2 linked regions of the Schizosaccharomyces pombe genome follow. The gene in region 1 interacts genetically with each later gene. Each region holds a gene or a part of one and is shown on either strand. Other genes may lie near its edges.

Region 1 (5,375 bases):
GCTTTTTGCCCTTATAAACAGGTTTAAAGAGGGCTCCAAAACTCTCATCCTTCCCAATTCCACCTTTATTTATTTTGGGTTGGCTTTTTTGAGGGTCTCCGGCAGTATTTACCCCCATCGAACTCACTTAGTTGATAATGGCGGACGGTAGCAAAATTCCTCCCCAAAAATATACTTATGGAGGAAGCGTTAGTAATGCAAGGATAGAGATTTCTTATTACTTTGGGCTTATTTTTTAAGTAACATATATAATTTTAAATAAAGAAATAAAACTTATACGCAATTAAGATTATTGAAGCTTAACTATTTACCACTTTATTCTACGTACAAAAATTATTTCGTTGATGAAAATCTATACCATAGAAAGCAACTTCAAATCTGTTTATATAAGTTTTGAAGAGTCTGCGACGCACAGACAGAGGAATTTTGTATAACTGAACAAGAACTAAATTAAAATGTGTGGAAACTTAAGATGGTACTCGTACGCGACTTACTGCTGGCTATTTAATAGCAAGGATTAATGCATTTAGTTCAAAATATTTGTAACAAAAAAATATCCAAATGGTACACAGAAAGAATAAAAATAACAAAAGAATGGGCTACAAAAAATATAATCAATCCAAATGGATACCGGCATATTCATCGTAACCACAGGACAGATTGAGATTCTGGAGAGCTTGAGTAGCAGCACCTTTAAGTAAATTGTCGATAGTAACTACAATGACTGCACGCTTTCCAGAAGAGTGCACACCAAAACCACCAACTGAAACATGATGCTTGTGTGCGTTGTCCTTGACCAAAGGTACATCTCCTTGAACATGAATTAAAGGCTCACCATTATAACGGTCTTGGTATAAGTTACGAAGCTCACGGGAAGTTATACTTTTCTTTAACGGAACATTAATAGTTAAAGTAATTCCTTGGAACCATTGAGCAACGTGAGGAATAAAGGCGACAGGTTGCTTTAAACGATAAGAAATTTCACGTTCATGGATGTGATCAGTTAATGAGTAAGGTATCAAATTGTTTGTCAATACATTCAAGTCATTCTTCGGAGAGGGCTTAGTGCCAGCCCCAGAATAACCAGATACACCAAAAATAGAGGGCTGGCCGTCAATCAAAGAGAGTATGGGAGTTAAACCGACTTGCGATCCAGTAGCGTAACAACCAGGATTGGAAATACGTTTCGAGTTACGCAAAGCTTCACGGTCATTTAGTTCAGGAAGACCGTACTGCCACGAGGGCTCAAAACGGTAGTCCGCACTTAAATCAACAATGACACTTTTACCATTTGCAGACGTTAAAGCATCGACATAAGGTTTGCATACACCGTTGGGTAGGGCCATGACCCAAGCATCAACCGCTCCCTCTTCCTCTAATTTTTTAACATCATCTGTGGACAAGTTGACATACTGAATTTCTTTCTTAGTGTAGCCAGGAAGTTTGGTGCCTTCCAACTCACGAGAAGAAACATGAGATAATTCGAGATAAGGATGAGTGTTAATCAATCCAATCAAGTTCTTTCCGGTATAACCACGGGCTCCAAGGAGAACGACTTTTGCTGGCTTCGATGAGACCGCCTTCAAAGGTTTTTGGGTCTTCTGAGCCTCAGCAGAAAAAAATCGTTTTCCACCCTTTAAAAACAAAGAACGATTCATTTTTTTGTTTTTTGAAAATAAAGAACTAGTTGAGTAACTTCGTTTTTGATTGATCTGTGAAGAGGAAGGGTTGTTGGTGGTAGATGAAGCAGTAGGGGGTTTAGTGGATTGGGTCTGAATGATAGCATCGGCAAATGGCTTGTCAGACTGAATGAACTTGGAGATTTTATTCAAATCTTTTACACCGTACCAAAAGTAGTAAAAATTATTAGCAAACAAAGTACCTTCGCTTTTAGAGAAGAACCATTCCAGATTCTTGGCTGAAGGTTGAAGACGCCATAGCAAAGAAGGGAAGTCTGCTTTTAATGTTGTTAATATGCTATCAACAACATTGTTTAACCAATTATTGTCGGCGGCACCAAAAGCTAAGAGTACTGGCAAGGATGAGTCGGTGGTGTCGACAATAGCAACAGATTCATTGAAAGAGTCACTATAAATACGAAGTTTTCTGTCTTTCAGAGTATCCTTGAACTGTTTCAAGCTTTCACTAGGTGCGGCTAAAGAATTTTTTTGAATGATCAAATTTTCTAGAGCAGCGTCTGGAATGCTATCCAACGAGTCATGTTTGTTGATGACAAAACCGCGACTAATCAAAGTACCAGCGCCAGATTCCGTAAAAAGCTCTTTTTGCAAATCCTTCGTACTAATAATGGCTACGGAAGATGTACGGGGAAGAGTATCAAGTAACTCTTTGATTTCTTTGATTTTGAGCTTCGTACCATACTTGACCCATGGTTGCTTCATGAGGCCATCGTACTCCCTATCCAAATAGATGCTGCTAATTTTTTTCTTTGTTTCACCGTTGATAAGTCCACCTTTTTCATTGAGATAGACCACCTTTAGAGGCTTCAATACGCGAGCAAGCTCACCAGCAGTAATGTCGGCGTTGACATTCAACAATTGACCAGAAGCAGTTTCGGCCATAGACGTAAGAATAGGGAGGGTTCCAGCACGAATACTGTGTTCAATAGGAGCTTTGTTTACCTTGACAATCTTGCCAACATACTTGTATTTTTCTTTGTCGAGATACTCTGCCTGAAATACACCACCTGTAATGGGACGAGCACGAGTTCCCAACTTTTCCAAAGCATCTACAAGTTTCGCATTTTCCTCTAAGAAAACTTTACGAGCTACAGAAAGAGTCTCGGCATCGGTGATTCGAATACCATCGCTATACTCGGGTTCAACATTTCTGCTGGCAAGAATTTTGTTTAATTGGGGACCAGCGCCATGCACAACGATGGGATAAAGACCCACATGATTCAAAAAGGCAAGACTTTGTGCCAATGTGTCTAATTCGTCGGTGATAATGGCACCACCAACCTTGATAATAGCGAAACGTTGAGCTTCGAAGGAAGTAAAGTATCGTAGGTATTGCTCAACTTCACGACGGCTTCCGATGGAGGAAAGAATTCTAATGATGGCATCACGATCTTGTTCAATTGGTTTCGCGAGTGGGTTTAACGGTTGTTGTTGACCCGGGGCAAAACTGCCTTGAAAACGTTTGCTTGCAATGACTGATGCATTGGAACATAGTAAGCTCCTTTTCGTACAGTGTTTCGCTCCATTCCGTACAAGACCGGACTTGACAATTTGTTGCAATTCAATAAGCATTGCCAAATTCTAGTGATATTCTATGATTTACTGTAGTTGGTAGAAGGCAGTTTGGTTGGTTTCAAAATTGGAAAATCATTTGCTTCGTAAACGTAGCTATAATTCGTTAAAATTTGATTGCTGTATCTAGGGATTTGCTCTGGAGATAATCACTCAAAAAGATGAGATCGATAATGTTACTTGTTGGCTGAAAATTACATCGGAAACCAACAGTTTACATGAAAGTGCTGCAAACGTGAGACATGGACATTTAATGAATTAAAGCTATATAAATGACACTGTAAAAGCAACTCATTTGCCGACAATGAATCTATTTGTATATACATTATTTAATACTAGTCCTAACTGACACAGTACAATATTCATTATTTCTATGCAAGCCAGTTCAATATCTTGATTTATACATGAAAGCATTCTTTTGAAACAATATTTTGTTTTCTATTTGATTTCGCGTTGAATAGTCCCAATGACCCTGATGAGACAAAAGCACTTATCATAAAATTTATTATCTAAGATAATCTCGTTAAAAAAAAAAAAAAAAAAAAAAAAAAAAAAAATTTGGCAAGAAGCCCTTCTCTTTCGTTAAAACTTGTTTCGCTTTATGCAATACTGTAAGTGTAAGCTTGTAATATAGCGAATCTGTGAACTCATTGTTCATTTCATGGTAGTTGTTGATTTCACAAGCATGCTGAGTTATCAATATAGTAACACAATTGGTTTTATTTCAGCTCGCTTGAATATAGTGTCAAGAGATAATTGAATAAACAAAAAAAATAACTACACGTTTTTTAGATACATTTTATTTACAATGTATTGGTTCTTTAAAGAATGGGTGGTAAATAAAAAAAATATTACAAGGTCGAAAAAAATTCATCCCTTTTCATTAGTTCTATAATTAAATGCTAAACCCATGAATATTCTTTTACTGCTAATCAATTAACGATTTTGGTATTTAAAAGCTATTGCTGATAAGTATTCTGACGTTCTGTATCAATATTACCATGAATAACATAAGAAAAAGAAAGGAAATAGAATGTTTATGAGTAGTTTTTAATTTTTGACTTGTTTTATCATATTTCATCAACGTACTAGCTTGTTTGCAACTGAACTCTAGTGTACGATAATGTAAAAATTTTCCATCTCGTCGAAAATCCGCATACGATATATTACGGCGCCAATCTCGCAGTCTGAGAGAGAACTAGATATCGGCTATATGCAATCTCACCCTGAATATCTAAGAAATTACCAGTAACTTGTGGGTTCCTTGTAGTCGACTACAAAAACCGTATTTTTGATATATTTAGTCGAGAAGAATTATTCAGTTTGCAATTGAAAATGTCTTTCAAAAAATTTCCTCGTCATTTACTATCCATTCGTGATCTTAGTCGCGGAGAGATTGTAAAGTTGATCGATCGGTCTTCTGAAATTAAACAAGCTTATAAGCAGAATTTTCAGAATCGCCGTTCTGTTCAAATGAGTGGTTTGTCGTCTCAGAATGTCGCCATGATCTTCAGTAAGCGTAGCACTCGTACTCGTGTATCAGTCGAAAGTGCTGTCAGTTGCCTTGGCGGCAATGCCATGTTTTTAGGTAAAGATGATATCCAATTAGGAGTGAATGAGTCTTTATACGATACTTCAAAAGTTATATCAAGTATGGTTTCTGGTATTGTTGCTCGCGTAAACAAATATTCAGATGTTGCTACGCTCGCTAAACATGCCTCTTGTCCTGTTATTAATGGTCTTTGTGACACGTTTCATCCTCTCCAGGCGTTAGCAGATTTACTCACTATTAAGGAAACTTTCAAAAGCTTTGACGGTTTAAAAGTTGCATGGGTAGGTGATGCCAATAACGTTTTACATGATTTGATGATTGCAAATGCCAAGGTTGGTATTCATACTAGCGTTGCTAAGCCCAAGGACGTCAACGTTCGCGACGATATTTTATCAATCGTTAACGAAGCTGCGAACGAAAACGGTTCTACTTTTGAAATTGTTAACGACCCCAAGGTTGCTGTTAAAAATGCTGATATCGTCGTTACCGACACTTGGATTTCTATGGGTCAAGAAGCTGAGAAGGAACAACGTCTTAAACAATTTACAGGA
Region 2 (4,699 bases), on another chromosome or scaffold:
TTTTTTGAATTAATATTTAATCGTTACGTTTCCTCTCAATGTTATGTTTGGCTTACTAGGGGAATTCGTTATTATCGACAAGTTTAGTCGATAATTTGTTAGCAGCGATGTCGCAACTGATAGTTTTAGCAACTTTTTTTACGTAGTTTTTTTCTGCAGAACAGAAGTTGCTTAAAAGCTAGTAGATGCCATTCGTTGTTGTTTGGGGGTAGATTAAAGAATTCTAAGCTTTAGTATAAGAATAATTTGTTTCTCCTCTTTCTGCCTATCTGTTGTTCATAATCAACTGCGTAGTTCTGGTGAAGGAGTAAATTAAACTGCCTCGCACCGCCGTACTCATTTTTACCTCGAGTATGGTGGCCGTGGAATGGTGGTTTTTTATGCAGTCGGGAATGAAAGCAGCTGTAATTTCCTTGCATAATGAGCCTAAATACCTTTTTACATAGAAGTTAAAATTTATGAGATTTTAAATTAAAAAATCATCAAAAGTGCAAATTTTCAAGTACATATACGAATAAATTTAATTATAAAGTAAACCTAAACGTTGTTTAAAGCTAATTGCTTCTTGGTAACCGATTGCAACATGCCATCATTTATTTACATTGACAACCCGTAAATATCCATAATAGGTAGAATGTTATCGACAATGAATTTCAAATGCATATATATGTTTAAGTAAAACAAAATACTCTACACTAGCAGTCCCGCAATGGGAAAATAAAGAGGCAGCAAATATGAAAAGCTTCCGTCATTTCTTTTTCGGTCTTGCTAAAAAAATAAAACCACACATAGCTTAAAAAAAGTAACAATGACTAGACATAGCATGTCATGAAAATCAACTGTTTCTTTAAGCTTTTGTAGATAAACCGAAAATTGACAAATTGAAAGTTCCACCTAAAAATGCATCACTGTTGGATCCTCCCAAATAATTTAATAGAAATTATTTAAATTGCATGTTCTAAATCAACAGGTATTAAAAGATATTACTGGGGTTGTTGCGAATAGCGAGAAAGAGGGTTTTGTTGCTGGGAAAACTGCTGATGCATTGGGTTTCCCTGACGCCCTTGCTGAGTTTGATACATCATAGCGTTTGGCTGTGAATAAAGTCTCTGTTGCTGATCGAATTGCCGAGGAGATCCAGGTCTTCTTGACATACCATATGCAGAAGGATCAAACATTTGAGACTGTTGCATATTAGGTCGCATATTACCTTGAAATTGGGGCATTTGATATCCCATAGGGGATGACTGCAATCGGAAAGCTGAGGATCCAGATTCGAGATGCGTAGGTGGATAACGGTATAAATGCTCAGCCATGTACGGTGCTACCATGACCGGTCTTTGCATATTCATCTGGTTAACATTTCCGGAGTTATCTGACATTTGTAGTTGTGGATATTCAGAGCCCAGACGCTGCTGTTTATACATAGATTGATCAATATCTTGCATTTGCTGCATTCTGGATGGATGAGAGGAATACTGCATTGAAGGCTGACTTGACTGTTGATTTGAAAATGGAAGTTGACTACCAGTTGGCATTGGAAACCCTTGATTGGGTAAGCCAGCTTGAGTGGGGAAAGGTTGTAAACCATTCATACCACCCATAGCAGCAACTTGAGTAGCAGACATATGAGCTTGACTGGAAGATGCGCGGGAATTATTGTTATCTTTAGATATAATATCAATTAAGAAATCATACATTTCAGATTTTGATACTGCATTTGCAATATCGGATCTTTGTAGTGTCCTTCGTTGATTTTTTTTGGCATGAAGCCAAGCCCTCATAGTAAGCTCTGCAATAAATATCTCACTTCCTTTAGCGAACAGAAAAGGAGCTTCTGCCGAGATCATTTTATTCTAAAAAAATTAGTAAAAGTTAATGTCAAAAAGTATTCGAATACTCAAAGTAACGTACCTTCACATCATCGTCAGTTTTCATAACTTTCTGCATAATCAATAGTTAGTAATTAATTCAGAAAAAGTGGCATACCTTAATACGAGCTAAGGGAAGATGCAGAGTTTTTACAGCTTGATCGTCATGTTCCAATGTATCGATGGTTTTTTGCCAATATTCAGCAAGGGCTTGTGCATCACTGCCAACAAGACCTTGAGTAACATTATCAAATGGACTAGCAACCTCAATGGGTGCACTAGCGTTGTAGTGATTGACAGCAGTTGGATCAACATCGGGGACTGGTTGTTGGAAGCGAGAAACAGAATCTTGACCATAACCTATCCGTACCTGAGAATTAGGATTGCCAGAGGGATCAACATATTCTCCTAAACCTTCGGGAAAGCCTTGTTTCAAGGAATAGGAATCAGGAATAGAATTCATTTTGCAATGAATCTTAATTGAAAAACGAAAAAAAGTCTACAGAAAGGCAATTTAGTTTAAAAAGAAAACTGGAAACGTAAAGGCCTTTGCCAATTAGATAAGAGATCAATGCAATCTCACTGGTGACAGGTTTAAAAAAACGACAATGACAAAAATTGTAACTATGCCGGGATCTAACAAATACCAGTTTCCTAAAAACAAAGCTGTTAAAGAAACTGACAATAATTTAAGCTAAAGAATTTCAAATCGAAAATCTAAATATTAAGAGGCGATAAAGATGCGGATTAAAGAAAACTTCCAATACCTTGATGTACAGCTTAACAAAATCGTAACCAAGATAAGTAGAAATAAAATAGAAAGGGAGCGGAGTAGTCTCCGGTAAAATGGGGAATTAAACTTATATGAGAGGTGAGCAGGAGACGAAACAGGGAAGTAAAACAAATTGACGTCAAGTTGAAGAGTGGAACGGAAAGAAAAAAATAAAAAGTTTTACAATCGAAAGGAACACGAACGGCTAAACACGAGGCTTAGTTGCAATATCTAAAAAGATAAATACCAATCGTCTTAATTCACGAAAAACTCGTAGAATGAGTAAGACAAAGCAACAAGTGCAGTTACTAACGTATCTCTAACACATTAACTTCTTAAAACAAAGAACTTCAATAAAGAACACTAGTAAAGCACCTTAACTCGTCGAAGTGTCTTGAATTATCTATGTAGCGTATTACACCTGGCTTAATTAAGTATATAGAGTGCAAAAACACTCAATATAGCGAAAATCGGTACGATTGAATTTATTGGTGGCTGGCAGAAGATGGTTGGCTGTCACACAACTTATTGATGGAACCGGTTTATAGTACCACATACTTTGTTTCTACAATTGCTAAAACACTTTAACGACACGTAAATATTCATTATTTGATATACATAATTAATGTTTTCGCGGTAGTAGATATAATACTATAAACAATAGCATGTGCAAATATTATTCAGTAATTAAAGCAAACAGAATAGAAAATACGTATAGTAATTGACTTCAATCCAGGAATTACATTAAAATACATCCTTGTTAATTGAATCTTACGCCTTTTTAAAGTCCTCGCAAAGATAAAGCTTACCGCGTTACAATTTGTTGGTCTTACAACAGTTCTTTAAACGTGAAAGAGTAATTGACCTTTATAAATAGAATTATTTTGAATGTAATAAATTCTTATTTTTTGTTTTATCATTATAATAGTAGGAATTAGAAAACACTTTCAAGTAGCTAGGTTTAGCATCTTTATAAATAAGTATGATTGAATAAGCAGAGATTAATTATTTTTAAGAAATTTAAATATATCGTTTTCAAATTAACCATTTGAGCCACAATCATCTAACTAGTTATTTGAAATATCATAAAAAAATCATTGCAGAAATCAGTTTGAAGCTGCTTAAGTCACTCATAATAACAACATAAAACACTTATTTGAAGGTTTGCACTTTACTATATGAGATGTTTGTTGCTGGTAATATCGTAAGCAACGATCAGCAAAAGTTCTGTTGTAGCGTTTGATTCAACTTTCCTGTTTGTAATTACCTTTGATTTAATAAGAAATTTCCTTTTTCTAAATACTGACTGATCTTATCATATAAATGCTTTGCTCTCAAAAGGCTTGGCTGCTTGAACCTGACCACTCATCCAATGCTATAAAATTCACTAGTTGTATAGGTGTCACCAAACAGTTTATTGAGATTAAACATTTAAAGCTTTAAAACTAATGAATCAGTTTTATTAAGCATTGGTAGCTTTTCTTTTCGTTTTGAGGAGAGTCCAGTTGTTAATGATAATTGCTGCTAGTTTTATATCAGATTTACAATCACGAAGATATCCTTCACTTCTTCATTTCAATCATTTTTTGTTTTTCTTTCATCTTAAGGCTAAGAAAGGATGCTATCACGATTCATTAAAAGAACATATAGCACTCAAACTTCTTCACCTGTAGTCGGCATCATCGGTTCTGGGCCGGCTGCTTTTTACACAGCCCACAGACTCTTACGAAATGACCCAAATGTCAAAATAGATATGTTTGAATCCCGCCCAGTTCCATTTGGGCTTGTACGTTATGGAGTTGCCCCAGATCATCCAGAAGTTAAGGTAAGTCTGTTAAGCCAAGAAATATTGATTGGTTTAAAAATGGATCTTATTAAATTTATTATACAGCTAACCTCTATTGTAGCATGTAGAACACAAGTTTTCCGAAATTGCTGAGTCTACACAATTTCGCTTCCTTGGTAACGTAAACGTTGGGACTGATGTTTCTTTACGGGATTTGACTAAAAATTATGATTGTTTGGTCCTTGCCTATGGAGCTGCTGGGGACAAGAG

Evidence for each region. Genes that interact genetically often act in the same process or in processes that back each other up.
Region 2: mutations in arg11 (region 1) and php5 together harm fitness more than expected from each alone (negative genetic interaction), as found in Schizosaccharomyces pombe (one large-scale study listed by BioGRID).

Annotation. Positions count from the first base shown.
Region 1 is NC_003424.3:2,269,405-2,274,779, forward strand, and holds arg11 (N-acetyl-gamma-glutamyl-phosphate reductase/acetylglutamate kinase), read right to left. Parts: upstream 3,321-5,375; 5' UTR 3,273-3,320; coding exon 615-3,272; 3' UTR 504-614; downstream 1-503. Other genes in the region: DNA-directed RNA polymerase III complex subunit Rpc2, read right to left, coding at 1-118; ornithine carbamoyltransferase Arg3, read left to right, coding at 4,608-5,375.
Region 2 is NC_003423.3:3,393,367-3,398,065, forward strand, and holds php5 (CCAAT-binding factor complex histone fold subunit Php5), read right to left. Parts: upstream 3,141-4,699; 5' UTR 2,335-3,140; coding exon 1,990-2,334; exon of another isoform or gene 1,945-1,989; coding exon 1,915-1,944; exon of another isoform or gene 1,857-1,914; coding exon 984-1,856; 3' UTR 538-983; downstream 1-537. Other genes in the region: mitochondrial [2Fe-2S] cluster assembly NADPH-ferredoxin reductase Arh1, read left to right, coding at 4,262-4,468, 4,551-4,699. UniProt on the Schizosaccharomyces pombe protein: Component of the CCAAT-bound heteromer, php5 is essential for DNA-binding activity. It is essential for transcription activation of cyc1. It is the linchpin that binds to the subunit association domains (SAD) of php2 and php3 to bring these proteins together.